2 linked regions of the Lonchura striata genome follow. The protein of the gene in region 1 purifies or fractionates together with the protein of each later gene. This does not show direct contact. Links are inferred from orthologs where the notes say so. Each region holds a gene or a part of one and is shown on either strand. Other genes may lie near its edges. The genes, in order: CARD11 and MALT1.

Region 1 (16,088 bases):
AGAGAATTTAGTTTGTTTCATGGTGGAAGGATAAGAATTGGATATAGTAGTTGCAAGGGGAATATATCATTCCCTAAATCCTGATATAAAATGGTAGTTCCCTCTTTCTGTCAATACTCTTAACATTATTGCTTCTTTGTCTCACTGAAAGTCCAATTCAGGAGTCACTGGAGTTTCTTAAAATTTACAAGTTTCACTCACTGGAATTTTAAGCCCACAAGTTTATAAGCAGTTTTTCATATTTTGGTGAGCCAAAAGAGGATAAATGCATAATTCCATATCTTTCCAGAAATAAACAATATGGTTTCTTTATTCTCTCAAAAACATTTTAGACTCTTAAATAAGCCTAAAGCACTATGCAGTGCTATACATTTTAGACATTTTTTCAGTTTTCAATGAAAGGACTGTGCTCATCTCTCTGTCCTTTCTCTCCTTTATACAAAATATAATGTAGGCATATTTCTATGAATGAATGGGGGTCAGTAAACTCGTCAGGGGTCTGGTATGTTTTATACAAGAATTAGTGATTAACACATCAAACCAGGTAATTAGTGCAATGTCTCATAAAATCAGGCTTCAGTTTTATTAGATATCATTATCTATTAATGTAATAAATTTAAGAGGTTATTAAAATCGTGGCAATTTAGATCTACAGATAAAAACCTAGACCAATGTGTGCTTGAATTAATTTCATTTCCATTACTTATTTTGAGATGGGTTATCTGCATTCTATTACACCAGGTGTATCAGAAGTAACTCCATGAATGATAAGTGAATTAAAGTTTGTTACAAATTTCATGGCATGTAATGAATGTATGTGGGCATTGGAATGAAGTGAAAGTCCTATAGATGTAAAGGTATTAAATATTCTAATATAGAGTTGTCATGCAGTGAGAAAGCACAGCTTGCAGAAAGTTACACTATTGTTTCAAAGAGAAATATTAAAAATTCCAACCCAGGTATTCATTTATGGATTAATAAATAGCAGTCATATAGTTTTATGGCTATGTTTAATCTCACATATGTAAAATGTACTGTGATATATGACCACTATTTATATGCATCCTAAGAACTCTTCTACAGGAATGGTCAGAGTCCTTCCCTTGGGAACTACACAGTTAAGTAGAAAATGAGCATGAGATCTTGGGAGAACAGATATATCCAAAAATGAAAAAATAATTTCTAAATAGCAAGTCATAGAGAAATCCCACATACTGACCAAGTGGGACATCAAGATTTCTGTCAGCTCAGTCACAGGGGCCAATTCAGTCTCACAGGCTGTTCAAAACCCCTCAAGAACTCTCCACTACCTGCTGTTTCTGTCCTCTTTCTTTCCCTTGCTCGGAAAACATTATATGTTCCTAGCCTGCCTCAGAATCCTCTGCTTTCAGAAATGATCATTGCTGTTTTGGCAGAATAACTCTGAATGTGATGTTGGCTACAACTTGTCCTATTTAAATGACACAATAAGGAGAAATAAGGCATAACATGGTAATATCTCCGTCTGACCTCTGGGATCTGATAACTTTTCCATCAAATTACTACCTTAGCCCAAGTTGCTTTTGGCAAATTCCTGTTTCATAAACTTATCTCTGTTGTCCTCTGTAACGCCCCAGCTCCTGTTCCTGCAGTGGAGCTGCATTTATTGAGGATGGCTTCAGCTTCCAGCTTTGCAGCATCCAGTGCTGTTGTCTGGCAGAGCTGGATCTTGGGTGTGACTCAATACAGGAATTCTTGCTTTTCTAAGGTGTACTGGTGATATGCTCATGTGGAGTTTCATGCTCTGGTCTTGACACATTTATGTAGCAGTTTCAGGTTCAAAGGTGTTGTGGTTCTCTCTACAGAGGAGGAGAGAGAAGCGCCGATAGATTCTGTGAACCATGGTGGATGCAGAGGACCTGTGATGAAAGGTAAAAATCCTTAACTTCCAACTCTGTGTTGCATTCCCTGGATATTTAAACTGTGGAAAATGTTCCCTTGCCATTCAAACTATGTGGATTAATATATAACTCTTGGTTTAGAAATTGCATAGTTCGTATTATTAATTAACCCTAACATTGCTATTTCTGTGTTGCTGTGTACTTACTGCTCTCAGCACAAAGTTTCCTCCTCCTGACCTTTTGAAGAATCTGTATGGATTCAAAAAGACAAAATGTTGAAGAGTGTGAGCCATTTAAGCTCTGCAGTTATTTTCAATTGATCTCTATTAAAACATCCATACTTTTAATTGGAATAAATGCTGACCTATAAAAAATACAAGAAACATTTCAAATTTAAAACAAACAAACAAAAATAAGTAACTCACCTCTCTTGGCATCTACTAAATTTCAAGTTTGATAGATTATCCTTTGGATTTCAGATATGTTAAATCCTTCGGTCTAATATTCAGAAGAGATATTGACAGTGCTACTATCACAGAAAGATGATTTTATGTTTTAAGCAAAAGGTGAGATATGAAACTGATTGATTTATTTAGAAAAAAAAAAACCCAGAAACTGTTGAACTAAAATAATTTTTCCAGTATTTATTCTGGTGAAAATTATCTGAATTCTATGAATGGTTGTTTTTTTAAATAATAGTGATTAGATTTCTTCCTGTCCATCTTTATTTTAAGAAAAAAATATTGTTTTAGAAGTGTCTGCCCTGATTTCTGAACTTTTTCCAGGTGTTGTGGCATTGTTGTCTTTTTTTTTTTTTTTAATTAAACCAAAATATTGAACTATGTGAAAGAACTATTTTTACCACTTGTAAGGCAGAGGAAATATTCCCTTTTTACGTCTCCAATACTTAGTCTTATCATCCACTGAGGATGGATATGAATACATAACTCATTGGTTGCTGTTAAACTAAATCATTTGTCTGGAAGGTTTAAAGATCCTTGGATTTAAAGCCCTGTGGACATGTAATTAAGAACATATGGAAAAGCACAAGCACCTGAGCTGTGCCTCACGCAAAATTTTGATTAATCATGTAAGTGTAAGGGAAAGAGAACAGGTGGAAAAACAACTAAATTGACTCTGTCTCTTCTGGAGACAGCATCAGAGAGTCTGGAGCTCCCCTCCCTTTGGCCTCAAGAAGGGGCAGAATGGGTCACAGAATCCCAGAGCTGCAGAATCCCAGACTGCTTTGGGCTGGAGGGAACCTTAAAGCATCTTGTTCCACCCCCTGCCATGGGCAGGGACACCTCCCACTGTCCCAGTCTGCTCCAAGCCCTGCCCAACATGATCTGCAACAATTCCAGGCATGAGGCAGCCACAGCTTTTCTGGACAACCTGAGCCAGGGTCTCAGCACCCTCACAGAGAGGAATTTCTTCCCAATATCCCATCTAAATCCACCCTCTGTCAGCTTAAAGCTATTCCCCTTTTTCCTATCAAAACCCCAGGTCTGGGTTCTTTGCTTCAGTGAAGGGCTGGGTTTTTTTGTGCCATAGATTGTGAACCCAGATCCCAGAATGGATTTGAATCCAAATTTTCCACACTGGGTGAATATGCTAACAGGTGACTGGGATATATCCCATAATACTGTCAAACTTGACAGAGACTGTACATTTTGTGCAAAACCACGTAAACCCCACCACTGTCAAATGAAAGAGGGAATTTTATGCTCTCTGTTCCCCTCTGATATATGTTTGGCTGTCATCTTATTTCATAGTTGAGGCAATCGAAACAGTGTTTAAATGTGTATCATAAACCTATAGATGAGAACATTTCCCTGCTGGATTTAAACCATTACCCCCAAAGGTGTTAAAGAAACCACGCTGTGTGTCACTTTTTAAGATCAAGGGGCATTTTTGATGTTAATGCCTAGAAAAGGCAGATGAACACTAACAGCTGCTTATGCACAGGCTGGTGAATTGAATAGGGAAATACTTCTGTTCTGGAAGTCAGATCTCCAGAGAAAAATGATAAATTGTGAGCATCCTTAAGTAAGAGTGATAGTCTCTAAGGATAGTTGAGCAAGGCTGATAACATAAAATATGTAAAACGGGGAAAATATTTAATACTTCTGTTTCTCTGCTCTAAGGAGTTGGAAGGGTTGTGTTAACAATATATACGGTGCTGCTGTGCTCAGGCATGCAGGAGAAATGCAATATATTAGTTCTCAAATCAGTAGTTTGTGAAATGCATTTCTGGTATCCAGGGATTTTCAGGACTGTTACCCTGATAAGGAGTCAAGGGCAGCCTCCTCATGGGCTGGGATGGCTCTCTTGGGAGAAGAAGGGAGCAGAAGAAAAGGAGCAGCAGATTAAGAGCTTTTAAGAGCATTTTAGTGTTCCTTTACTTCTAAATGTTGATTTTTTTTTTTTAACTCTTCAGTTTGCAGATATTTAAAGCTCTGCAGCAGCTTCAACTCTGACTTAGAGCTGATGAATCACCTCTTTAAAAAGGCCTCCTGTAGGAAGTTGTGGTGTACAAGGAGAACCTTACACCAAGGGAAGTTTATTTCCATAGGAAGCATGTGTGATTCCTGTGGGACAGACAGAAGGAGAAGGGAGAGAAACTTTCCCTGTAGACCCCAATAACGATGTTCTGGTATGGGCAAAATGTGTAGGAGACCAGCAAAAATAGGGAGGAATAGCTAAGATTCCAAATAATTTCCACTGCTTAATCACCTAATAGAAAACCTTGAAATTTTGCTGGCTTTTTTATGCAAGGAACTCAAAGTAAAACCCTGCAGGAAGGGAAGGTACAGAACGACCAAAGGATTTAAAATGCAACCTCATTCAGGTTGCACCACCAGGGCTCAGACCTGCAGAATTAGTACAACTGGAAGGAACTAAATATACCCTTTTTTTTCTGAAGTCTCTGGCAAAGAGGGAGACAGAAACATACCAGGTGTGTCCTTCCAGGTTGAAAGCAGAGGTGCAATTTATTTTTTCCTGCACCAGGTTTAATGAAAGAAATCTGAGAAGCCGTAACCAACACCAATAACAAAAAAAGTATTGTTTATTGTTACCTTTAACTGGATAGCTTCTTAAACTGAAAGTTCCAGTGGAATAAAAATAATCAGAATACAGAGACAGGTATCTTTTTGAGGCAATTAAGTTTTCTCACCCCAAAAAATAAAAATATAAAAGGAATATTTATTGCTTAGAACTCTACCATTCAGGTTCCTAGACCCTTCATTTGAGTCAGGAAAGCCCCTGGTTCAAACTCTGCAGCTTTTTGCTGTATTTTATGTGATGCATCTGAAGTTTTTCATTTTTTCTGCCTGCCTGGTTAATAGAACATAATTATTTTCTACCCTTACATTGTGTGAAACACATAACTTCAGTCTGCCAGCCTCAAGGAACTGCAGCCTCACTATAACACTTTTTTATAGCTTGAGGGAATTTTTTTACACCTGAAAACTGGGATTAAGATTGTAAATTCTTTTAAAATAGAGTTGATATTCAGTTACATGTGGCTTTGTGATTGATGACTGTATCCTGCTCAGCTAATCTCAGTTTGCCAGTAAACCCGTTATGACTATGAGAATTTTAGGTTCTTTGATTTCTGTGATAGATTCCTTAAAGCTGCTCAGGCTTTGCTGGATAATTGCTTCATCTCTACGGTGTCACTTTAAACACAGGGAAATGTGGCATCTTCTTTAAAACAGTTACTGTAGTTTTTGATCTGTTTGTAATCTACAGCATTAAACAAAGTAAAAGCAGGAACAGGAACAAATGATACCTAACCCCTTGCATGGCTCTGTAGGGCAGTTTCAGAGTGTGCTGCCTGATACCCTGTTTGCTGAAGAAATCAAGGACAGAAGGAGAAAGCTGTAATGAGACTTTGTGAGTTTTGATTTGAATTTTTAACATGTTTTTCCTTTCAGGTTAGGAACTATATGTGGAAGATCTGTGATTTTAAAATTGAAGTGAAGCCACAAAGCCTCCTGCCAGCAGAGTTAGTTTCTCTGGTTGTGCTTAAAATGGTTCCTCTGTTGCATGCACAAATCAGCTTCCTCTGTGAAAGCAGCAGAAAGCTCAACTCAAAAGTGTTTTGTATTGGTTTTGATGGAAGAATTGTAGGCCATGATTCTTATAGCTCTATTTCACAGTTTTCACCCAAAGTTTCACAGACTTTCCCCTGGTCAGAAACTGTAGAACCTCACCTGTGCAGTTATTGCATGGGGAGATTTTTGGCTGCTCAAGGCAGGAGGTTTTCCTGCACCTTGTCACATGCAGCTCCAAGTGTGTTCCAAGCAGTGAATTTTGGTAAAGCTGCAGAAGAATACAAGTAACACATCAAGATATAGTCCTCACTGGAAAAAAAATTGGTAAGGGGATAGCAGGTTCTGCTATTGCTCAGCAGGAGACAGAAATTCCTGCCTTCCTTTATCTTTGAGCTCTTGATATAGAGAACTGGAATTGCTTCCAGAATCCCTTTCTGAATAATCCTCATGGATAAACTTAGACCCTCACCAGTCCAGCTACAGTTACAAACATGTGAAATAAGATAAAAAATAATGGAGGATTGGAGCAGAGCACCCTTGCAATTTTTTGCAGGCTTCAGATTTTCAGTTTGGTAAGAGCAGTTCATGTGTTATTGTAGCAAGACTTTGAGCCATGTGTTTTCTCTATTTTCTTTACATTTCTTCTTTTCACTGTATCGCCTCACTTCCTCTATTCTGCTCTTTGCCACTGCTCTATCCTTTGACAGTTTTTCCACTGTTCTTTTGTACTTACTTTCCATTTGTTATGGTTTTCTTTATTCTCTACCAAATACTTTTTCCTTTCTTATTTTCTCCCTCCACTAATGTCATCATGCTTTCCCCCCCCCACATTATTATATATTATATGTTGCTTATGCTTATTTTTCTAGTGTTTCTGATTTTATTTCTGTTATTTTCTCTAAGGAAATAAACACATGCCCATGCCCATATATACATAGTTGTTTTTCTCTAGTCACCCTCAAAGAAAAGCTGAACCTTGCAAAAATCATGAGGGAACAGAAGGTGATCCAGACAGAAAAACCTGTGGGTGACTCTGCTCAAACCCCCGTTATTGTTTTCCCAATTTGTAATTTGATGTGTTTGCATTTACAGCTGGACTGGTGACATTTGCAGTCACCCTTGCACACTGGCTTCCCTGTTACACTCATCCTTTCTTTAAAAGTTCTTCTGTCTGTCCCTCACACACCCAGGACCTGACTCCAGGGAGGTTTCACCTGTGCACATGTGCCCAGTGTAAAGGTAAAACCTCGGCTGTGAGCAGTAGAGCTGTACCTGTGCCTTGTACAAGAACCAGCACACCACGCAAGGGGTTCAGGCTCAGGATCCCTCAGCAGGGTGGCAGAGCACTGCAAGATGTTTCTAGAAGTGATGGTGACTGCTCTGGTGGGTTTGGCTGCAGGGAGGCTTCTGGTTGCAGCAAGAGCTAAATGTCCTCTGTGAGACCCACCAGGGGCTGGGTTTGCATGTTGGCCTTAAGGCTGGAATCCAGCATTGAAGCAATACAAGCTACTGCAGCTTCTCTGTGTCGGCAAAGACTGCCTTTGGAAAACACGTTATTCAAAACATCCTTCAACTGTAAAATAATTTGATGCATAAAGCAAACCTTGTTGACTACCTTTTTAGCAAAATAAGCTATTAATAATCTAGATGCCTTAATGAAAAACCTTTGATACCTTGGGAAAACCCAGAGCTCCTTCTGCCTGGAACTGTTGTTCTTGAAACTCTGTTTTCTTCAGTTCCTTCATTCTTTTTTCTCTCCCACCTGCTTTCTACCAGCAAGTGCCCTGAGACACCAGGGCTGCTGCTCTGTGCTGGGAAAGGCACAGCACCAGCCAGGCTGGCATTAAGCACATCCCCTTGAGCCTGAGGAAATCATGCCCTGGAAGTGTGTGGAGCTGAAGTGAGGCAGTGGAGACAGGCTGCTTCTTGTGCCCGAGCCGGGCATTTGTGCTGCCACCTCTGCCCACTGCTCTTCCTGGGAAAGGGGCAGCAGTGCCTCCTGATTTGCTTGCCTGCTGCCACAGGGCTCTGCTGTCACCTGCCTGCAGAGTCATTTGCAAACAGGCCCTATTGCTGGGGAGCAGAAATGTGTTTTTTTCAACCTGCAGCAGATTTATAGTCTGGTTTCCTGTCAGATCTTTGCATTTTCCTTCTCTGCCCCTCCCAGCCTCTGACACACTTTTTCTTACTTTCTGTGTGGCTCTTTGCTCATTCTGACACCAGTGCCCCCAGCCTCCTTCATTCCTGATTCTCCCGAGACTTTTGTACTTTGGGGGCCAGGGAGTGTTTTGCTTCTTGTGTTTCCTTAACTTTTCAACAGCTGCAGAGCACGAATAACCTTTCCAGGACTCCTGGAGAGACACAGACTGTTGCATGGAGGCGACGTAGAGAGTGCAGCCTGCAGCAGCTGCAGCCCCACAGCCGGTCACTCATGGGCACCCAAGGTAAGGAGAGCAGCTGGCAGAGCAGCTCCCCTCCCTGCTGCCTACACAGCTCTGATCACTGAAAGTTCCACTTTCACCTTTTTCGTGTTGATATTCAAAAGGTTCTTTGAAAATGGTTCCATTTGTGCTTCCCTTGCCATCATCAGGTCTGATATTCAGCGTGTGTCGATCTTTGGAGCCCAGGCTTGAGGGAGGCAAAGAGGCTGTAGCTGGAGGTGCAAATGTGCACTGGGAAACTGAGTTGATATGGAGGTCTGGAGAGGGGAGATGAAGGACTGATCATCAGTGCTGGTCTCCAGGGTATTTCTGGTTCTACCCATAGTGTGTTGAACTCTAGCCCTTTCTTTAAATCTCTTCACTGAGATTTATGCTTTCTGCTAACAAGTAAAATCTTTATTATTTGGTTTTCTTCCTCTTTTTATTTGTTCTTCTCACTTCCCTTTTTCTTTTCTCAACCCTTTCTATTTCTTATCTTTTTCACCATCTTTTTATGCCTTTTTATGCCTTTTTATGCCATCAAGAGTATTTTCTGTGTGACAAATTATTTCCCTTTTTCATTCCTTTCCTTTCCCTCTGCCTTCTTTCATGTCTGTGCATCCTCCCTCAAGTTCTTAATCTCTCCCTCCCCTCTGTCAGTTCCTTCTTGTTCTTGTGTTCCCCTTTCCCGTTGTTCCTCCAGCTTCACACATGCACTCCTACTTCCTGCTCCATCCCCTCTCTCCTGTGTTTGCTGCACTGGAAAGAGCCTTTCGTGAGAGCTCTTGCCTCTCCACTGGCCTGTCCTTGCACACATGTGTCTCTTAGTCCTGTCATTCCCTTCCATGGAAGTGTTCAGGATTTGCATATTTACAGTTTTGGGGATGCATCCCAAAATAGGAGACTTTTACCCTTGCATAGCTTCCTTCCAATGCTCAGACTCATATTTAGTCATTCACAGCAAATAACCACTGTCATCCTGTCTCTCTGTTTCTGTCTTACAAACAGCATTTTCTAGCACCTGTAACCCCTTTGTCTTCCTCTCCACTCTCAAATAGAGCCTGCCCTGACTTTGTGTATTCTATCCCTTCTCTTTTTGCCATCCCACTCCTTCCTACCTTCTTACCACAACTCTTCACCAGGTTTCTCTATCTGTTTTTATCTTTATATTGCATTCAAACTAGGAGGAAATGCTGAAGCTGCTGGGCTTGCACTGCTGCCTTAGGATCCCTCTGCCAGCCTGCAGGGGAACCAGAGGAAGTATTGCAGTCTCTCAGCTCCTCTTTCCTCTGCAGAATAACCAACCTGAGCAGAGAAAGAGCTTAGTGACTGAACTGAAGGTAGATGAAAAAATGGGAAAGTACATTGCAAAATGCCTTTTGAAAACTGTAAAAAATAGTTCTAGTTGTTAGTTAATCTTTTTACTAAACTGAATAAACTTCGGCAATTCCTGCCCCACAGCAGAATTTCTTATCTGACACTGGCATAGTTTTTGTCCTTTTGATTCCTATGGGATTCCAAGTCCCAAAGGTAGACGTTCTCATCTCCGATGCTGTAGTGGCAGTTACTTTGCTCCTAGGATCTGGAAACAGCTCATGTCTTTTATACCAGACATACTGGTGAGTCACCAAGATCAGACATGGCTAAAAACTGCATCCAAGGACAATATCTGGTGTTATTCCTTGCTTAAATTTGTATGCTTTGAATCAAATATGACAAATAAGTGTACTTCTTTGATGAAGCTTTTTAGCCTCACCTTCTTGAGCAGGACTATTGAGACTGAAGATTTATTCCTAAGGATGTTCTCGTGTGGTCTTTTGGGAACTGAATAAGTTTCACTTATTAAACTCAGCTGAATTAATAAGAGAATTATTATGTGGGAGAATTCTCTTAGCAATCTGTCTGGCTCTCTCAAATTGTCCATCTCCTTATGAGTGAAAGGAGCTTAAATTTTTATGTTTGCAATTATAAAATATCCTTTCTGATTCAGAGTTAGAAAACTGTGGCCTTTGAGCTGTGAGAATTCTTTCTGAATACAGAAAGAGGTACATTAAAATATCTTTGCCTTTTGGATCTTGCAAAAAGTCCACAAGCCTAGAACAATAAAATACGAGATGCTAATTTTATACATTCAGGTCTAAAATGACTCTTTCTTATTCTGTTGCAACTCATCTTGTGATGGGAACAGCATTTGTATTCCTTTGAGTCATTTGAAAAAGCTTTAGGATGTTGTGCCTTATTTCATCAGTACTTTCTGCCCCTATTACTGGTTCTTTTTGTAAAGGCTCCCATAAATAAATGGGCTGGGACAATGTCTCTTCTCTCTCACCCCCTCCTTTTTCTTTTTGCATCACATTGTTTCCCTGTGTTGAGCTAAAATGGACAATGTCAAAGGTGTGTTGTGATTTTTGCAAGGGGACCTGGAGACAGAAATTGTATTTTTGTGTGTGTCTGTGTCCAGTTTCTTCAATAATGTGTCTGGCAGAGGAGGAATTTCAGCAGGAAAGAGCCTGGAAACTTTCTATCCTCAGTAAATTTCTGTATCAAGAGAGCCAACCCCAGAACAGAAATTCAGAATCACGTTTTACTCCCTGTTCTTATGCAAATAGTTACTTCCAATTAGATTTAACTCTTAATTAAGAGTTCAATAAACTTTAATGATGAACTTTCTTAATACACTTTCAGCGTGGGAGAAGGAAGAGCCATCTGACTGCCTGTATCTTTTACAATTAAAGTCAATTTGGACCTTCTCTAGAAAGATGAAACCCAGATAACTGGATATGCTGAAGATACCAGAATGCCATACACCAAATGACCTTGGTTTCTGTACAGTTTCTTGGTAAAAGTTTTCATCTGATAGATATATGGAAATGTAAATTTCATCACAGAGGATGAAATTTATAGAGATCCTTAGCTACCCTCTTGTTAGCAGATGGCTTAACTCTCTCTTTGATATTGAAATGCATCTTTCATGAAATACGAATCTTTCACTTAGATATGGTCATTAAGTCATGTAACTGATGGTGGAGTTTGACCTGTGGCAGCTTTCTTTGGCAGTAGCCTCCACAGCAATCTAAACTTAAAAAGAAATATGGAAGTATGCCATGTGATTTTCAAACTGAAGGGTGAAACCATAAACCCCACCAAGTTTGGTCAAGTCTCACCACTGATATGAGAGAAAAATTCTTTGTCTCTTGTCTGTTTTACCACTGCTGTCTGTAGGATTTGCATTTGCAGAACACTGCTTTGCTGTGAATCCAGTATCTGCAGTGAATCTGCAATTCCTTTTTCAGAACAAATGATGGGGTTTTACAGGCCTACATGTAATAATATTCTCCATCTCTACCCTTCCCCCAAATTTTTTCTTAAGTGCTGCCTTCATCCTCTAGTCTGGGTCACTTATTTAATGGCAATGAACATTTTCAGAAGGTAACCTTTCTGCTTGTGATTTGTTCAAGGACTCTGGAATTATAATGGTTGCTGTCAAATGTGTATAATTGGTGTCTGTGGCACACATCCAATGAGTGATAAAAGCTTCGTTGTCTCTGCTGCTTCAGTCTGTATTCTCTCCCTCTATCACCCTCTCACTTCTGCTCCTCTCAGGCAAGAGGAGAATGCAGTGCCAGGCTGTTTAAAGTGCAGTTAGACAGAACAGCAGCTCTGCCAGATTCCCTGTCACGGAGTGTCCCAGCTCTGGGCAGTGAATTCCCTTGGCTGAGGTTTGCTCACTGACTTGAGTTAAGCACAGTATCCTCTGAAGTTTTATTTCAAACACCTCCCTTCATAACCTTCTGCCAAATATTTGGGCTCTAGGAAGGATGATAGTTTGTGAGTACTATGAACTCCCAAGCTTAGTGACCTACATGTAACATTTTACCAGTGGGTAAGTCTCATAATTGAGATGGAGACAACACAGAGCAACACACTCCATTTTCAGAAGGCTTCAAACTCTTTATTATAGCAGGCATGCTTGTTATACATTCTTACAAAACTCATAAGTTTACACTTTACTCACTGGTCACGAGAGACAAGGTGCTTATTGGAATAGGCAGTTACAGGTTTCTCTTATTTATCCTTCTTTCTTTCTTGGTTTCTATGTCAACAACTTCTCTCTGGCTCATAGAAGTCATGTAAAACCTCTTCCAGAGGTAAAAACTTTGTGCTTTTATATACAAAAAGCAAGCACACATTACTAATAGCACCCAAAACTGGCAACATGTTGTTCGTTGTCTGTTCCCAGTGCTGAACACGTAGTGAAGAGAATATTTCTGTTACTTTAGTCCTGCAAAACCTATTTTATCTTCAGGGCTGGGTGGGTGATTACTTTCTAATGCTGTCTACTTCAGTGAATCTGTTTAGCAACTCAAAAGGAGAGAGAAATTTGTCAAATCTCACTGGAAATCTATCAGAAATGTCAAATGAAATGCTGTAACATTCTGGTTTTGTCAAAAGGATAAATGTATATACAGCTGTGTGTGTGTGATATTATTTGTAGTAATTGTTGCCTCAGTGAATTTCTCTGTGTGAAGAACTTGGTGTTGCATTAAGGGATGTGTTTGTTCTGGTCCCTGAGGCCAGCTTGGCCTTACACAGAGGTACTTGGAATTTGCCCAAGTCAGCCCTGGTTTTTGGAGTTCAGGGGAGGAATCAGCTTCAGTGTAGCCAAGGAAAGGATTCCCACTGGCCGTCTGAGCACTGGGTGTTTGCTGGAAAATTTTCCTCAGGTTGTAATTGAGATGCTGAAGACCAAATGTAGCATAAGTTTTCTGTTTAAAGTGCGATAAGGATTTTTTTTTCCATCTGCATGCAGAAGAAGCTGTATGGTAGCAGTACATATATGGTTGTCATTAGCAGCTGAAGAATTGTTTCCACTTCATTTTTATAGCTCTAAACCTGTAGAAACATCTCAAATCTAGCTGTGCCCATACTTGAAATCAATCTGAGTATACTTAATAAGTTGTTACATGCATTTAGTATATTTGAGCACAAAAATAAGTTCCTCCAAGATTTGAAACACTAATAAAGTCAGCTATCAAATATTTCCCTTTGGGGATTCTGAATCCTGATGAAACTGGGAAAACACCCAAAGAGTGTTTCAAGTCTTTTTACACCAAGTACATTTCCAAAGTACAGTGAAAATGGTGATTGAAACTTTGATCATGAACTGAAAAATTATCACATTTGTAAGACCATATGAGGGCTTTTGGCTTCTAGCAACTCAATTCAAATACCAGCGACCTACTCTACTCTCTGACCAAACTGGTCCATTGCATGGAGTCTGTTTAAAGGAATCTTTCCTCCCTGATGGCACTTCCATGTGGATCCTCTGCAAAGTCTACTGGTGCATCCCAGTCTTTCACAAGAACAAGTCACTGTGTCTATCCAGCATCTGCTTCCTGCATCTCACTGCTTGGCTTTTTCTGAATCACAGAATTATTTAGGTTGGAAAAGGCCTGTTAAGGTCATTGAGTCCAACTGTTAACCCAGCACTGCCAAGTGCAGCACTAAATCATGTCTCTGAGCACCATGTGAAGGTAGTTTACATTCCATATGGTTTTTTGTAGTTTATAATGAGGTAGTTAGTGAGATCATCAAACTCTTTTCACTAATGATTTGCAGTGACTGAAAATAGAAAATTCCATCAATTTTCCCACCTTCTTTACTATTGCTGAGCTGATTTTTTCCTGAGGGGAAAAAAAACAAGCTTAAGGTAAGATTCTTCCCTGCTCCTACACTGCTAGTCCTCCTTCATAGCTCCTGCTGAAGGCAGTCAGGATAAGTCCCAAAATTTAATTCTTTAAAAATCTTCTGTGTGGGCTTCATCCTTCCAGTAACATATCCCTGTATTTCCAGTTACATATTTTTTAGAAAGACCCAAGAATGGCAAGTTTTATTTTAGAAGGTTTCATTTCCTTCTGTCTTTTATTCTCTCTTTTTTTGCGATTTATGCCATGAAAGATACCAGGGTAGGTAGCATGAAACAAAAAATGTTTAAACTTTTGTGTCAGGATCGGAAACAATGTGTTTTCCTCTTGCTTCAGTTGTTCAAAAAAAGTGAAGGAATTTTACATTTTCCAAAAGGCTGGAAAGGCTGAATCTATTGGGTTTTTAAATCCGCAGGTCTGTGGCCTGAAGGAAAAGTGATACTTGAATATTTTTATATGGAGTGTTACACTGCAGAATGGTGTTTTTGTGCCTCATCCATATCCATACTGAGAGCAGCATCCAGGCAGTTTTGCTGGACTAAACACTATTGACAGCAGCACCTTCACTGTATCACTGCCCAACAAGGCTGCACACCTGGGAGAGCAGGGCTGGCTCCAGACTGGCCTTAGAAGCTATGTGAGAATATAATATCAGGAAGAATATTCCACCTGCAAGGAACAACTGAAAAATGCTTGGTTTGAGGCAGAAGTGATCAGAATTTGAATGCCCCTTTGAAGTCAGTGGATTCAGTGACAAGCTGTTACACATACCTTGTACTATGTGCTGCAATGCAGAAAAATGTAAACTCATTGCAACATGATAATAGTGAAGAAATCCAAAGCTGCTTGAGCAGGATAGTATTAGAAATCTTGAATGCATTTAGAATTTTTGGCTGTTAAATAGCCAATGCCATCAGCACTTCAAGTAGAGTCTGCACAAAGGGACTGAACAGTAGAAATTATTATTTGAACATCTAAATATGGTGAGGAAAGAGCATGAGAAAAGGCAGAGGGTGGTTTGTAACTGCTCCTTTGGTCCTCACAGAACATCCCAAGTTCTCCCTCCCCTTAGCCTGACCTATTAGTCTGACTCCCCTCACTTGTCTTATTTAATATCTCCTTTTCTCCTCCTTTCTGATTCCCAGCCCATGCATGGGAGTCCCATCAAGTGAGAGAAGGCATCTGACAACCTCCTCTCTGTCCAGCAGACTTTAGAGCTGAAAGCATCACTCACCTCCAGTTTGTGACAGAGGGAGGTGAAGCAATGCACAAAGCACAGCAAATGAAAAACCTGCCTGAAAACAGAGATGGGCCATTGTGCTTTAGCAAGCTCTAAACTCTCTAAACAAAGTCAGATTTTCATTTGGGATATTCTTCCAGTTCTTTTCTCTTGTGGACAATGTTTCACACACACAGCTGGCTGCAGTAATCCAGGTTGTTCAGGGTGCTGTGCTGGGTGTCGGTGCCAGCTCAGAGCATCAGCTTCTGTGGGCTGGGCAGTGCCACATCCTGGCATTCTGCAATGTGTTGTCACCAGAAATTTGCTCTACCTTGAATTTAGCCTTACACAAGCCCAAGAGAAACAGAACAACTTCTGCTGCCCAAACCAGCAATCCTTCTTTCCCCCAGAGTGGGAAAAATGAGTGAGTTGAATGTGGATTCTGAGCCACCAGCTGGACCATTCCATCCTGAAAAGGAACAGCAACATTTTTGGCTAAGTGCTAAAAGTTTGCATATAAGAATCCAAAAGGAGCATATGGCCATTGCTTTAAACTTGCCTTGTTCTTTAAAAATACACTTTACCAGAATTATCTATTTCAGACTCTCTAAATGTGGAGTGAGAAAATTTATTTCCCTCTTTTTTCCTTGCTAGAATAAGTGGCATCATAAATACTAGAAAGAAACAGAGTTATTTCAGGAATTTGAACTGGGATAAGTATCATTTAAAGAGGCTTCTATCACCACTCCACTGAAGATAGCAGGGACTGTGCATCAGTTGTTTGAAGAAAGTTGTTGGTCTGTTGT
Region 2 (16,531 bases), on another chromosome or scaffold:
CCAAATGTCAGGGCAGGCAGTTCTGCACAGAGAGAGCATCAGGTAACACACCCGTAAAAAAAGCCACGCTAAGAAATAAGCTGACCTTGTGTTCCAAAAAGGGATCAAATAATGTTTTCTCAAATCGATTTTTACTACAGAATGGAATTCTGCAATCCACTAAATAGGGACCTGGGAAAACATTTTGCTCTCTGTCCTAAATAATTTCTGGAGTTTTCTATACAATCTTAGTAAAATGACAGAATAGTGGCAGTCAGCAGAAAACGTAAGAACTTTTCTTACGCTCCAAACCAGATCACTCTTGGCCTTTTCCATGCAAGGTTTTTGATCCATGCATCAATTCCATCATGCTCTTCTCCACTTCTGTACTGTGCTTTGTGCCCCAAAATCAAATCGAGGCAAGCAAAGTACTATCAATACTATCAAACAAAATAAAAGTCTGCACTGCAGTTTTAGGTGTGGCTAAAGAATGAAGTTCAAACATTTGATCTGTTCTAAAAGTAAAGGAACTAAAACATTTTAACCGAAGTCAGAGGATATGCTGGTGGGTACCTTTAACTTATTCTTCTCATTCTACATACATCATATTTACTACCATGAATGTTGCTTGGCAGAGGCAAATACCAGATGTTTGCTACTTGATACATACAAAACTGGCCTACTTCAGAAGGGATTTACGTGTTCTTACCATAAACTCCTTTGTCCAGGAGAAGCAAAAATTCATCCACTGCATTGCGCATCTCAGACTCGGTAAGATCCAGCAAAGATACAACTTTGAAATCCAGCTGCCTTAGTAAACTGGTCAATTCATAGACATCTACTATTGGAGCCTTGAGCTGGGGATGATTCCAGTAGCTCATGTTTCCTATTAACAGAGCCACCTTGTCTGTGGCTGCCAAGACACACAGAGGGAAAAAAAAACATGTCACATTTATATATTCCATAGATTCAACACCTTTAGATTGAAAGTTTTCCAAAGTGAAAAGGGTATCAATCTCACTTCAGGCACAATATTTTATCTGATTTTACAAGTCATCCCACATCAACAACCCAGCTCAACTCTCTTTTCCGCCTGAAGAAAAAAACTCACCTGCATGAGAGAGGAGCACTTACAACACTCCTCCTCACACTAATGAACTTGAAAGAGCCATTAAATTCTGGCAGGGGCCAGCAGCCTTTCCATCTGGTGTAGTATCAACAGGACAACATGCCTGACTACTCAAGTCTACAGTGCAAATTTAAGTATGTGATTTAAAAACCCAGCAACTAGTCTTCATATCACATGTGCTATCCATCTCTTTATGAGCTTCAGCTCAGCATCAAAGGATCCACATGATGGAACGGGGATAGCTGCAAGGACAGCATTTCCTTAGCAGACAGGATAGCAATCCTTTCTATCACATCATCCCAACACCGCTGCCTCCAAGTGTGCAAAGGAATGGAGTAACACACTGGCTAAGGTCTGGCCACAGGGATCTGAAGCAGTAAACTGAAACAGATGAGAAGCTGCAAACGTTTCACAGGGTCACTAAAAATACTGGTGCCCTTGGCACAGTTTACACCTGAAAGGGCAAACAAGCATTCTAAAAGGACTACACAAATATCCACAGATCTCCCTCCCTGGAGCTCTCTATTTGCCCCATGGGTCTTGCACTGGCAGTGTCAGTAGCAGCAATACTCAGGAGCAGCAAAATCTGCATCCTAGATGTCAAATACATAGTCATTTCAGTACAAAACTACTTACCCACAGGTCTGTGACTTGACTCTTCTTGTGGGTCTGTTTGAAATAGAAGAAAAGAGCAGCGTGTCAGCGACTCCAGAAAATGAACTGCATCCTCCCCACAGCCATAGTCTAGTAGCACTGCTTTCCCTAACACTTTCCTAGTTTAATGCAAGAAAAAGCCCTCTCTTAGTTTTGGTGGGGTTTGGGGGTGTTATGTTGATATTGTTGTTTTTGTTTAGATTGTTTCCTTCACTCTCTTTCCACAAACAACCTGACAGGATGTGAATAACTTATTCTATAGATTAAGAAAGAATAGATGCTGAATCTCACAAACTGCACACTGGCATTTTCAGTGACATCTGACCAGTTCATCCTCTCCAAACAAAAAGCAGACATGCAAGGTGGGGGATGCTTAGCAGGGATTCCCATCTGAATGTGAAAATTATTTTATTCTGTACTTCACAGAGGGGTGGCAGAGCCACTGCTGTGCCAAGAGAAACAGTAAGCAGCATGCCAAAGTGGTTCACCTGGATAACATGACACAGTATGACAGAAAAGCCTTTCAGTGGCTGAAACTGAGACTGGGCAAACATAAACGAATTTGATATCTAACCCAGGATAATATCTTTGGGAGTTGAGGTTTTGGGAAAACTATATCAGGGATAATTCCCTCTGGAGCAAGACTGTAAACCAACATTTCTATAACAACCACCTAACAGTCTTCAAATCACACTGGCTGACTCCAACATGACTGAACTATGCCACTCAACATATCATGAGTGAGAGGCAGACACCTCACATCTTTTTCACCTTAATTATCTGAGAAAGCAGCAATGTCCTAAAACCGAGTCTCAAGAAACCACAGAGAAGAAAGAGAATTCCCTTTGTATCTGTGTAAGTGTATGTGCAGCCTTGGGCTATTTTACTAACAGCACCCCTATGATTCTCTATATGCTTCAAGTGAAATCTCTTGGAACTAGAAAGCTGTGCTGCTCTTAAGGTGATACCAGCTCCTATTCAGTTCTCAGTTACAGGTACATCCAAATACTGTAAAGTTTATATTGCAACCCAGCGAGCCTTCAATTACTTGTAACATAAAATGAAGATGCCAAGTTAAAGTTTTTCAAAACTTATCACTCACCTGATTCCTGAAGATCACTTAAATCTTCTGTGAAGGAAAACACCAATAAAATAATAGTTTAAACAAGAAGCAGAAACCCCATTTTATTAGTAAAAACATAAGTGCCATGCCATTATTAAACAAAGCTGAACAAAGAAAACAAACTACGTTTCTAAAATACTTTTGACTTTGCATTTCTGCAAATCAAACCTTTTGTGTTTATTCCACAGAGAAGAGAAAATCCTATAGCAATACATTAAGCTGTGCTAGACGCAGCATTGCAGTACAGTAGATGTAAAAACTAAGTGGGGGACAGTTATGACACCTCAATCCCACAGGCATGCAAGTAGGTTGAAGGAAAAAGGAAAAAGTATCAGAATCATCCCACTGAAGAACAGACGTTTGAGGGGCTGCTGAAAAAGCAACATCCTGAGCAAAAAATCTGATTTTAGGAAGCCACGTGTATTCAGAAAGACTTCAGATACAATCTTCAAACATCCTAAGCTACCACGGGTTTCACCTCTTTCTTCTGAGAACACTGGAAAGCAGGGGAAAAAAACCTAACATCCTTGAAGCACCAGTGCTCTCTCGGAGCAGCCTCGCACCACTGAACCCAACCCCACGTGCTGCGGATATTGCAGCTTCCGAAATGCTCAGCAGTCGAGGGAGGGATGGTACCAACATTAAGGGTCACAATACACTTCTTCCTCCCTGCTGCAACAGTGCAAAGGAGAACAGAAAACATCCTGAGGACGGTGCTAATAAGACTTCTGCAGACATGGAGCTGACATTGCAAGTAGCTCTAGCCAGCTCTCTAAGATCATCCAGGTTCCTGAATATCTCCAGATCTTTTTTCTAGCATGTTGCCTCCTGAGCCCCACCAGAGAAATTTCCAGATCATTTGAATACCACAAAAGAAGGAAGTAGCCGTGTGATCTAGATCATGTGTCCAGGCAAAGAAGAGAGAAGCACATGCAGAAGGACTGTTGCATCATCCATCAATGTTTTAACCCCAAGCTCTTAACTCACAAATGCCTTTCAGCAACACACTCAACAACCTGTCACTCCCATCACCAATTGTTAAAACTGATTCACAATTAGAGGTTTACATTACCTTCTGTGCACTCCACTGCCACAGCCCTCCTTCCTTGTGTTTTAAGGAGGGAAAAAAATTGGAAGATGAGCTCTCAGTTCTGAGAGTTAGCACACAAAGTGGAAGATAAAGGGCACTGTCAAGCTGCTCTGCAATGTGGCTCACTTTACAGCAGTGCAAATTTGCATTGGCCATAACACTCTACAGTAATGATTCCTGAAACTCAGGAGTACTAAACTAGGGTGTCTCTTACGTTAGGAAGTTACATGGTAGTATTGTCAGATCTGGAAGCTATACAAACAGATCTGCTCCTCTTCAGTTCCCTGCAAATACACATGCATGAACATGAAACGTGTTCCTTCATTCTACTTGAAATGAACAAGCTCACCTCTCCTGATTGCTGAAGGACTCCATGTAACAGAGTTCATGTCTCCAGCAAGGGTTAAAGTGTTTTAAAGTTTTTAGTTGTCAAAAAGCATATATCAGCTAGCAATCTGCTAACAAGCCACATACATGCCGGCAGGGATGAAAAGGGACAGTACTTCTGTACTGGTTATCATAAAAACCCAAAACTCCAAAATTCCATTTGCCAGATGCAAGCACAGGTGTTTTAACAAATGGATAAACTAAAAATATAGAAGGCATGAGCTTGTCTTAATACTGAAAGCTTCAAAAATATATTTTAGTGATGTAGAAGAAATGGACAAAAGAGCTGACCTGTATGAAATAGAAGAACTCTTTACCTATAATGACTTCTACTTTCTTGCTGTCTTCGTCCTCCCGGTCATTGAATACATGACACCAATATGTTCCTTGATGTCCCACATCCACGCAAGTTACCTATGCAAGCATCATCACAATCATCCCAACAGAACTCCAAAAAATACCTGCATCAGGTATTTAAGCCTTACATCTAAGCCCCACAGGCAAGAAAGAGTAAAAAAAACTAGCAGCGGTTCTGGAGAAATTCTTTTCTTCAAAGGAACTTTCTGTGGTAAGCTCAAGGTGGTTAACGTTAGCTCCCAAGTGTGGCCCATTGCAGTAACTTACTGTGTAGACATTTTTGCTCCCATTTGCCAAAGGAAATCCATTTCTGAACCATTGGTAATGAGGAACTGGGTTTCCAACAGCTCCACATTCTAGTACCAAAGCATCCCCCACTGTCAGGTTTTGTGGCTGAGGCTGATTACAAATGCACAACTTGTTTTCAGGCAAACCCATTAAGAGCCCTTAAAAACGAAAAGGAAGTAACAAGAAAAGGAAGTGTGAGACAACCTAAGCACAGCAACAGGGACCCAAGTGCCTTGAGGAAGCAGGAAGGCACTTTCAGAAGGTGTTTTTGCCACTCACCATGAGGCATATCCTGAAGCTCACAAACTTCAAGGCGTGCCCACCGACTGAACGTGAAAGAAGATTCACTGTTCGCTCGGCAGATGTAAAAGCCAGAATCCTTTACACTCACCGGACTCAAAACCAGTTCTGGAGAATTACCATGGGGAACCTGCATCACAGATGAACCAAAAATACTTCCATTTCAATTGGTTTAATCTTAACCAGGATCAAGCATTATTATATTTATTTCCAAGTCCTTAACACCATCCTCAACTCCTTCACTTACTGTAGCCTGAGACAACTGAACTTACAGCTTCCTTTCTGCCCCATTGCACATTCACAGCCCCCAGGAATGAAGTGGTGTGAACATAAGGAATCACAGTTTTGTTTTAGCATGTTCATAGGATCATCCAGCTTTTCTTAAACTTTCTGAGCATTATGAGTATATACAGCAATCTTCTCTCATTGTGAATAAGAGTCTTAAAAAAAAAAAAAAGGACGATCCAAAATCATTATGTGTTATTTTCACTATTTAAAAACCCTGCATTCTCTATGAACTCTTACCTCTTTTTCCTGCTTGAACCACTGGTATTGCACAAATGGGTGTCCTATTGCCCAGCAGCACAACTTGACAACCTGACCAGAGAGCACTGCTTGAGAGTCTGGCTGTACAACAATCTTTACACCTTTAAGACAGAATTTACACATAGAAAAGTTATGAAGAAATACAAGTCCATAATTTATATTTGCATTTAAATTGCCCTTGGAGCACAGAACCTTTCTGTCATTAAATATACTTGAAAATAATTTGTTTGTACTGTGTATACGCACAGTTCCAATTAGTTATATTACTTTAAGACATTCAAAATTGTCTTCCACTACACAAAATCCATGCTCAAATCGATAAGTACTCGATGGAGCTCATAAAAGGTTTAAAGTATATCATTCAGATATTTTAATTTTAAAGGAAATAATATGTCTCATGGTATCACAGATCCCTTTTTGGAAAGATATTCTCAGTTTTAAATGTTTGTTCACTCCCAACGATTTTTTTTTTTGAGCTGTTCAGATTAAGGCCCAGCCTGAGGGAGTCAAAGCAGTCAGAGTTTAAGTCCAACAGAGCACATTTTCCTGCTATTCCTTATACACTCTTATGCCTCTGATTCATGCAGAACATAGGGCTGGGGTTTTCTGCAAGGTAAAACTTTCTATTTCAAATCTTAACTGACACCACTCCAATATGATGCAATTATTTTCTTAACCTAAGGTATTCCAGATCTTGTTACAGCATGGTCCCAAAACCAGGTCCACTGGTATAGCCAAAGTCATCAGAAGAAGGAGAACGGAACATTTAAAAATCATGATTTGAAACATTCTTTGCTCTGGATAGTCCAACTAGACCAGAACCTACAGAGACAACAGCCTGAAACGGAGAGCACACGGCGTTTGGAAATCACATAACCTTGCCTGGCAGAGCAGTGTGTTCCATCAGCTGCCTCCACTCACATGATTACTCTGAAAGAGTAGAACACACCAGCAGCTACTCCAAAAAAGCTGCAGCACTTTGAAATTCCCTGCCTTCCTTACTCCAAAATCACTTCCTTCTACACCTAGCACTGGAGATCAGTACCTCAACTCCTTGTTTAACACTTCCTCTTCCACTTTCTGCAGTTAAACTGTGTTGTTTTTGAGCATCACAGTCCTCTAACATTAACCAGCAGAAAAGTAATTATGCTATTTCAATTTAAAGGACAGAAAAATTAAGAAGGCTTGCTCTTTCCAAAACTTCCACTTTTTTTTTTTTAATTTCCCCCAATTTGCATCACAAACAGCTCTTAAGAACATAGATGAGAAAAATCCACTGGAAGATAAGCATTTTGCACTCATCAGAAGCATTCCAAACAAGTTCTAAGAAATCTGATCCATAATTTCTTTCCAGTTTCAGTTCCTTTCCTGTGGTTTATTCAGCACTACACAGTCACTTCCTGCACGTACCATGGAATTTAATAGTTCAAAAAGAAAAACCTTCCAGCTCAATTTTATGATAGATTACAAAGACACATAAATATTTCTTCCATTTTCCTTGGAAAATGCAGAGCATAAGTGTTACCTTTGAATATGGCAAAGTGACATCTATGGTTACTGGACTTTGAAACCATGCAGATTCAGTATTCATAATCTTATTAATAATCTGCCCTAACTGGACCCTTCCCCTTCACCTGGGATAAGTTACTGACACCTCCAGACTCCAGTGCTGGCAGCACTACCTGTCTGTCCATCTCTGGTCCATAAGCATCTCCCAGAGGCACATGCTGAGACCAAACCCCAGTCAGCAGACAGAATGACAACGCCCAGCACACCCATGGAGCCAAGTCCAAGTCTTCAACAACACTGCACGAAGGTTTGGCTTACATTTAACCTCAGAATCAGATCAGCCAATAACCTTGGTAATCATCTGGATCCCAACTAGCTAGAATTCAAGCACTAAAGTTGCTTTTCGCTACTGTAGAGTGCTACCTTGAGTGTTCCCAGTGTAAAATCCAGGGCCGCAGTGAAAGCACAGCCCAGAACTGACCTGAGTGGCTCAGACACCGGAGAGCCTCTGTGTGCTCCAGGGCCTGCAAGGACTCCGCCAGCTCCACGACAGTGCAGCCCCGATCCCCCAGCAGCTTCAGGAGACTCCAGCTAGGACTGCCTTCTGGCTCCAGCACCTGGAGGGAACACTGCTCCAAGTCGAGAGGGCTATGGAATAATGTGAGAAAGACATGGCATAGACCTTCTCAATACCTTTTTCTCAGAAAGGACCCGGGTAAACAATCACTTGTAGATAAATAAAAATAGAGATGGGAAATTCCCAGCTGATTTGGACATATTTGCAGCATTTCCTTCAAGTTTCAGGAGTACAGAGGTTATTCAGTGACACCTCCGCAGACAGAAAGTGGTATTAGTGAGCTGGATGGTATAAGAGATGCATATACCTCACAAGTTTCAGCAAATGTATTAAGAAACCTCCTATTTTTCACTTTTAAAGTGTCAGCAGAAAAAGTAGTACAGCATCTTTCATTTCTATGAGCCTGACTCAGAAGCCGTAGAGAGCGAGTCAGACTCTTAACTTCAAAGTACAGGAAGACTGATTTTAAAGTTGTTGTAAACAAGTGACTGCTGGAGTCCAGCCTAACACACCGACTGTACAGCGTAGTCACCTGTGTCTGAACTTGTAGTTTCAACTTTGGTGTCGTTGTCACGCACTTTCAGTCACAGGCATTCAATCAACACAAAAAAGAAATAATGACAACTGCCTAAAGAGAATACAAAGTTACATATTTCCACTAAAAAGATTAATCAACGTTTCCTTCCTTAAATCACAGAGCTACGCAAACCTGGGGACGAGATATCTTCAGTATGTGGTGATACTTTCACTTATGAAGTGGACGGACTCTCAGTGTTTTACGGGATTAGAGAGATAAACACGCACCGCTGGGCCGCGCCCCGCCGCCGCTGCCCGCGCCCCGCCGCTGCCCGCGCTCACCTCAGCCGCACCGCGCCGCGGCTCCCCGCTCGCTGCGCCAGCTCCCGCCAGCCCTTGCCGGGCGCCGCGCGGTCCAGCAGCTCGCTGAGCCTACGGAGCAGCGGCCCGGCCAGGCGGCTGAGGGGCAGCGGCCCCGCCGCGCCGCACTCCATGGCTGCCCGCCGGGGCGGTGCTACCGCACGGAAGGAAGAGCCGCGCGGGACGGGGCGGCTGGGTCGGGTACGGCTGAGGGGAGCGCGCGCACCGCGCCCTGAGGGGGCACAGCCCCGTTGAGGGGCTCCGCGCCCTGAGGGGACGCAGCCCTGAGGGGGCCCAGCCCTGAGGGCTCCGCGCCCTGAGGGGACGCAGCCCTGAGGGGGCCCAGCCCTGAGGGCTCCGCGCCCTGAGGGCTCCGCGCCCTGAGGGGGCCCAGCCCTGAGGGCTCCGCGCCCTGAGGGGACGCAGCCCTGAGGGGGCCCAGCCCTGAGGGGACGCAGCCCTGAGGGGGCCCAGCCCTGAGGGCTCCGCGCCCTGAGGGCTCCGCGCCCTGAGGGGGCCCAGCCCTGAGGGCTCCGCGCCCTGAGGGGACGCAGCCCTGAGGGGGCCCAGCCCTGAGGGGGCCCAGCCCTGAGGGGGCCCAGCTCTGAGGGGGCCCAGCTCTGAGGGCACCGCGCCCCCGGGACATCCCGTAGTCCTCCTCGGGCACCGTGAGGAAACAGATCAGGCGCGGTCGTACCCCTGTTGAAATGGGCGTATTGTGCGAGCGCGAGACCTCCTGCAGCGTTCCCGGGTGGTGCTGAGGAGGCCGAACGTGGCTTTACAACCGGGGCTGGGGCGTAAACCAGACAAAGCCCACAAGACCCGAGAGCTGTTTCTCTCTCGCCTTGAGGAGAAACGTCTTTATCTGACCGCGAGCAGTACGACCATGGACTCTCTTCCTTTACACAGCTTTTCTCAGCCTGCTGCCACTGTCGAAGCGTGCAGCGTAAAGGCACCTTGCGTCCTCAGCGAGGGAGAGGAGGAACTGCTCAGGAAGAGCCTCCCGAGATGTTCCCCTGAGTGATCGTTATCACTGCAAACAGATGATCTGAAGCGAATTCTCACCTCTCTGGTATTGCGACTTGCTCAAAGTGGACTGAAGGTGCCTAAGAAAGTAATTTTACAAACATTTTTAATCAGTGATCAAGCATTTGGGTAGCTCAGAGAAGTGGTAGATGCCCCATCCCTAGAAGTGTTCAAGATCAGGTTGGACGGGGCTTGGAGCAACTTAGTCTGGTGGAAGGTGTTTTTGCCCATGTTGGTGTAGGGCTATATGACCCTTAAAGGTCCCTTCCAACCGAAACTGTTCTGATTTGAATGTGGCTGCCTCTCATTTCTTTGCCTATTAGGCTCGTCTATAAAACATAGATATTCTTATTGCTATTTCTGAATAAGGGTGGTTGGAAGTGCTATATTTACTGCTGAAGACCACAGTTTCCTATCTGTCTAGATAACACTGGGAGCAAGAAGTATTTAGCACAGTAGGATCTTGTAACCAGTTTTAGCTGTGTGTCCTTCAAAATGCTTAAGAAAAAACTTGGCACAAAAGTTGTTTTTTCGGCCTCTTCCAGATCCCTTAAACTCAGGGCAGTTTGTGCAATTCATTCCAGTTTGCCATGTGTGAGACTTGTCTCCTTGGGTACCAAGAGTGGAAATACTTTCTTACTTCAGGATTTGCTCATTTGCCTTTGAGGGATGAAGATGATAAGGTGAATTTCTGTGTAGAGATTATGAGAAGTCCACTGTCCACCTTTGATTTCCTCAGCCTGCTTGTTAGGCACTGTGGATTTTCTCATGCTCAGCAGAACTTTTGTGTGCCTAACGTCCAGCAAGTAAGAAATTCCCAACTTGCCTAGAAGAGCAGTTAGGCACATGCTTCAAAAAACAAGCCAGTGCTCTGTTATGAAAAACTAAGGCCAACACTTCCTCTGTCTCAAGGCCATTAGGAAATTCCTATGGACTTCTATGGAAGTAGGATGTGCCCTCTCCTCACTGCCAACTCCCTGTCTGGCAGAGGTTTTCCCAGGAAGGGCCATCTGCTGCATGTAATGAAATCGTCTCTCTTAAAAGTCAAACTGTTCAGTGATCAGACTCCCTATCCTGAGATCGCACTCCAAAACACCGGTGAAGCTGTCGGCTGGCTTGCAGCTCCTAACAACGCGCACAAATTCAGCCTCCTTTGTCTCCAGTGGGGAGGCCCAGCCCAGGACCAGCCTATCCCAGAACATCCACAAAGAGCTCAAGGGTAAGTGAGGGGTCGGGGTGTTTGGACTTTGAAAATTATTTGTCTGCTTTTTTTCTCCTGGGCAAATAGAATGTGTATCATAAAAGACTAATAAAGGAAAAAGAGCAAGTTACTTTTATTATCAGTGCACTACAATGGATTGATTTATACTGCTGTTGACCAGGAAATGGGATTTGGTATTTCCTTCTGCTAAAGAAGAGCCATTTTTGTTTATCCCAATAGATTTGGGTGTTTCTAAGCATGTTGCATTTATAAATCTGCTCACTGTTTCTGAAATTACTCTCTGCTACTATTTCCACCAAGTCTCATTAAGACAAAATTGCAAAAATTGTACAAAAGCAAGCTTCCTTCTCTAAAGAGTGTGTAAGTGATACCAGGTATCCTGAAAGACACATTTATTAATTCTAAATTCTAAATATTTATAGCACGGCCTAATATGCATTAGATAAAAGGTTCCTCCATTCTTGAGGAAAAGGTCTGGTCACTTGGTAGTAATAGGTGATTCCCAATCTTCATGAATTGCTCAGTCTGACAGGGTCAGATGCTTGACAGGTGTTAAAAATAGATTAAGACAGATCAGTGTTAAGAGTTGTGCTGTGATTGCTTATTTTAATTACTCTATATTAAGGTGTTTGTTTGACATGTGCAGAGCCAGTAATTTATTAGTCCATTTAGCTGATAAATTATGGATGAGGTGTTTTTATACTGTGGGGCTGTTTACAGCGGGTACTGCACTAATCAAAATGTTGTCAAAAAGCCTTGGATACTGGCAGTTGAAGAACCTCAATATATCACAGAATTTTCGGCAAGGGCATATTTTCCAGACATCTACTTTTTGAACAGCCACAACTTCACTGATGTTTTTCTTACCTAGACCTTATTAATCCAATAGATAGTGTGGTAACTGGTTTAGATAATACAGTGTTTCTGTAGTTTGGTTTCTGACACTGTGCACTCTTTGACAAGTATGCTGCTCAAGGTGTTCCATTTGCGCTCTCTCTTGCTTCAGCTATCCCAGAACTGCTGTCAGCTCGGTATAGAGAGCCCAAAGTATTGGTTGATGAAAGGCTATTCCCCAGTGTGAACCACTGTGCATGATCAGTGTCATTCCCCTGGTGTTCTGCTGATATCCCCCGTGTGGGCTCACTCAGCCTCTCTCTTCCCACTACTCTGGCTGGGTGGGTGTGATGCAGGTCCTTGGCAGGACCTGCTCTGGCTGGGAGCTTTGTGGGGGTCACAGCTTGGCTCCATCGAGGGGTGGGCATTGACCAGGTGCTCACTGTGCCACGGAAATGCGTGGGACGGGCCCCTGAGCCCAGAGCTGGGGCTGCACAGATAACGGGAGGTGGTTCCTGGGTGGGCGGACAGCTCCAGCAAGGTCAGGGACCAGTGAGTGCTGCTGAAAGATAGGAAGGAGCACTACTGAAAAGGGCCTGCACACAAAACAGAGATTACTCCATGAATAGATCTTAAGCAAAGGAAAAATGCTTCAGGGATGTCATAAAGGGGATTTTTCCATTGACTCTAGAGGACATGAACCTCACAGAAAGGCACAAATTCACTTCTGGATTGCTAAAATGCATAAGCTTCCCGTATAAATAATTTCTGTGAATATAAAATTGCTTACAAATGAATGTGAAAAACAGAATTCACTGCTTAGAGTTTTTAGAAGTCTAAAAATAATAATAATTATAGTAATAGGATAAAAAAAGGACAGTATTTCCATGAGGGTGGGGGGGGAGGGCATACAGACAATGTTATCTTTATACTGTTATATCAATAAGATACATGCATATTATTGTGTTTCATGCATAATTCAAGTGTTCTTTTGAACTTTCTGATGTTTTGGGAACTTCTTTGTCTGACTTCTTCATACTCCGGCTTATCTGCATGACATCCTGGGTGTCAGGTCAATATATTTTCTTGTGTCTCCATCCTGCTGTTTCACATCCTCTGATAAGGGTTTAGTATGTCCTCCTTAAATTTAACACGGTATTCTCTAATTGTGCTCCGGTGCTCTGGTTTGTGCCATGGTTATCTTAGCACTTGGACAGGTTGGATGGCCTTACACTGTTTTTGGTTACACAAAAGCCTTTTTTTCCCATCTTATGTTTTGCTAAGGTCTATAACACAGTACATTCAACACACTATTATTTCCATAAGTGATACATAGCTATTATATTCATTGCACTACTATTTCTATGAGCAATACAGTGCATGCTTAAGGTGATAGATTATATTATACTAACATGCAGCTGAAAAGAGTTATAATTGATACTATTTCAAAATAGTTATAATCACTAACAACAAGCATGGGCTAATACATAAATGCAAAAGCCAATATCTGGTAATTTTTCACAAGAAGATTTTTGTTTTGCTAATAATTTAATAAAGTTGGAAAAATGTGATGCAAGAGAGAAAATGTAATGGCCACCTTTTAATCAAGTTTATATATTTTTGTCAGTTAATTTTTTTCTGACATTAGGAATAACCCCACAGGTCCCTCTGAAATCACTAGAAGTGGCTTTGTCACCAAAACTACCCACAAAATATAAAATATTTTAAATTTTTTTCCTTCCATGTTAAAGTGTAATTCAAAACTGTTTTGATCTCAACTGAAATAAATTATCAAATATTGAACATATTTAACAATGTATAAAAATAAGTTTCAATTTGGAGTGATGTCATTTCAAGGAAAATAATTTTGAGCAGCCAGATTTTATGTTTAGAACTGGAATTTCAGACAATATTTTCACTATGAATAGTGAACAGGCTTTTCACAACCATTATGGGATTATGACAAAGTATGAATTTTAAATGAAGAATCTCTTCAGAAAATTGACTTGAATTTGTTTTATTATATATTTGCCTTACAGAAAAGTTGGGTGATTGTTTTAGCCATTTTGATGCTTTAGCCAGCCTTTCTTTTGTTAACTATTATTTGGAATGGATTGCTTTTTTGACAAATCCCAGTGTGTTCCTGCTATCAAAGGGTTTTGGTGAAGCAGCTCCATCTGCCTGTTGCTTCCTTGTTAATCTGACTGTTGCAGGTTTACATCAGTTCAATATTTCTCCTCAATCACACCCAAGCACAGTTGTCAGGTTGCTGTTCTCATGCTGCTCCCAGCTTTGTTCTCCCTTAATCTCAGCTCCCAGGCACTGAGCCCAGGTAGGAGCTGAGCAGACCCTGCTGAGCATGAACCTGTGTTTCATTTGCCTCAAGGGCTACCATAAAAATTCCCCATGGCTCTGATCACTACAAAATGGAAAATCTGTTTGCAGCAGATTAGAGAGCCAAATCAGGCACATTTCCTGCCATGACCTGCTCAAACCTGGTGGGTGAATTCCTTCAGTGTGGCTGTGTTTCAGGTGTCTGCTGTTGTGATTCAGCAAGGAATATCATTGGTTTTCAGAGTGAGAGTTGGGACAAGCAGCCACAGCACCCTGGCATGTTTAAATGTTTTTGTGTCTTCTGCCAGCAAGTGTTCAACTCCCAGTTTATCAGGAAGAGAGTTAATTTTCAGGTTACTAGTCAAAAGCCGATGGTAAATTACCATGGTCTCTCCCATTCCTCTTTCCTCCGTGAATTTCACTGTGCATCTTCTGCCACAAGTTTTCCTGATGAGCTGAGAGGTTATCATACTAAAAGTTCTCTTTCCAGTTTCTGTCTAAATTCAATAATTGAATTTAAAAAAAAATCTTAATACTTTCTATTTTCTTTCCAGATTAAAAAAGATAGTATCTCTTTGTCTTGGGTGGAAACCCATCATTTATTGCAGTTTTCTCCTGGAATGTTATTTTACTTTCATTTCTGTGGTTGCATCTGGCAGTGCATGGAAATCCAATGTAATTTTCATATGGAGAAATCTTGACAGCTCTTTTCCCCTCAATGTCAGAGTGCAGCCAAACTGAGACAACAATAACTGCCTAGTATAATGGTTTTAGTAAAGGTTTTTCCTTAGTCTGCATTAAAAACATGTTGCCAAAGCTATTTTCAGCTGGAGAAATTACCATGCTTTTAAAATAATTTGCAACCTCCAAAAGAGGGGAGAGAGAGACATCTGGTCTTCTAAAAAGCAAAAATGAGAGAAGTGTTGAAAGAGTGCAACAGGAAACATTAGGCAAATGCATATTTAAGAGGAGAGGCTGAACTCTGAAGGGTATTTTCATGTTACTGTAATAAAATGGATGAGGAAAAGATTAATCCCTACTGCTCTGTTTTTGTCCTGTTAAATATATTCCTTGGAGTTGAAAAGGAAAGCAGTGTGATCAGAAAGGCTGGTCTGGTTGCCCCATGTGCTGTTTGTCTGGGCTCCTTGGTGTACATGGACTCAAACTGTTTGTCACACATCTAATGTTGTGTCCTTGCTGTTAACCAACTTTGTTCCCTACTTTCCAGCACCCAGGTGACTGTGGAAGAGGTGTTGGTGGCAGGTTTGCCCAAAGGGAGCTAAGGTATCCCTGGTTGCCTAGTGCTCTTCAAGGAGAGGCAGACTGCAGCCGGCCACGCAGCCGCTGCTGTTTCACCAGCAGGCTCTAGTCCAGCTCCAGCTCTCTCCCCCGGTCGGCCTGCAGTACCTGTGGCACGGTACTGCCTGCCTGCTGGGCACGGCCAGGCCGGGGGCTGAGGGACCCAGGCCAGGGCAGGACATGAGCTGGAAACATCATTACAGCAGATACACGGAGAAGGAAAAGGAGGATGAACAGAGGTGTCTTTAAATGGCTTCATTGGATTACATGGCAAGAAAGCTTTTCCTTCTGCTCTTCACCAATACTGGAATAAATGTAGTCACTTTTTTTCAGAGCCGTTAGTCTGGCATCCTCCAGGAGGTCATATTTACTCGAAACTGCTACAGTACTTTTCCAGTGCTACCATGTCACACCTTTTCCAAGGTGACTGATGAGGCAGAGAGCTCCTAGCAATGTACAAAAACATCTCGGGTATCTAAAATCCTAAGAGTTGGGAATGCTAAGGAAACAAGGCTTGTGTTACAGGAAGAGAGAAATGATTCTACATTTCTTTGGATTCAGCCAGTGGAAACCTTTTGGTGTATCTTGCTTGGATTTTATGTGAATTCAGCATTGCCACCCTGCTACTGCACACCTGCTTGAAGGGAAAACTTGATATGAGCAGGAAATTGAAGCAAGCCTGCTTTCACTGTTCTTTCATCACATGAATGACAAATATCAAGCCAGAGCACAAAATAATTGCTTTAAACAGAAATTGGCCTATAACGTCTAAGCAGGCTGGTTGTTCTGGGTATTTCTACAAACAGAGTTTGGGATTTATGTCCCTATGATGCCAATTCAAGGAATAGCCTGCTCTTGTGCCAATGTGACTACCAAACCAGCAGGTAGCTGTAGCAGTGGGGTATGTGTGGAAATGTACATTGTTTGCAGGTTCCTGTTTGCATTTAGAAAAGTTGAAAGGCTGTGTACTAAGAGTCCTTGTCAAGGCGCCACATGGATGT

Evidence for each region.
Region 2: the proteins of CARD11 (region 1) and MALT1 purify together in Homo sapiens (affinity purification with western blotting; 6 studies listed by BioGRID and IntAct, with this or other methods). This does not show direct contact. The link is inferred for Lonchura striata from reciprocal best matches to the Homo sapiens genes CARD11 and MALT1.

The regions. Positions count from the first base shown.
Region 1 is NC_134618.1:13,862,917-13,879,004, reverse strand, and holds the start of CARD11 (caspase recruitment domain-containing protein 11), read left to right. Parts: upstream 1-8,262; 5' UTR 8,263-8,369; coding exon 8,370-8,382; intron 8,383-16,088. UniProt on the Homo sapiens protein: Adapter protein that plays a key role in adaptive immune response by transducing the activation of NF-kappa-B downstream of T-cell receptor (TCR) and B-cell receptor (BCR) engagement.
Region 2 is NC_134642.1:362,404-378,934, forward strand, and holds the start of MALT1 (mucosa-associated lymphoid tissue lymphoma translocation protein 1), read right to left. Parts: upstream 9,002-16,531; 5' UTR 8,950-9,001; coding exon 8,798-8,949; intron 8,011-8,797; coding exon 7,844-8,010; intron 5,955-7,843; coding exon 5,833-5,954; intron 5,438-5,832; coding exon 5,287-5,437; intron 5,166-5,286; coding exon 4,987-5,165; intron 4,777-4,986; coding exon 4,680-4,776; intron 2,892-4,679; coding exon 2,865-2,891; intron 1,778-2,864; coding exon 1,745-1,777; intron 893-1,744; coding exon 689-892; intron 1-688. UniProt on the Homo sapiens protein: Protease that enhances BCL10-induced activation: acts via formation of CBM complexes that channel adaptive and innate immune signaling downstream of CARD domain-containing proteins (CARD9, CARD11 and CARD14) to activate NF-kappa-B and MAP kinase p38 pathways which stimulate expression of genes encoding pro-inflammatory cytokines and chemokines.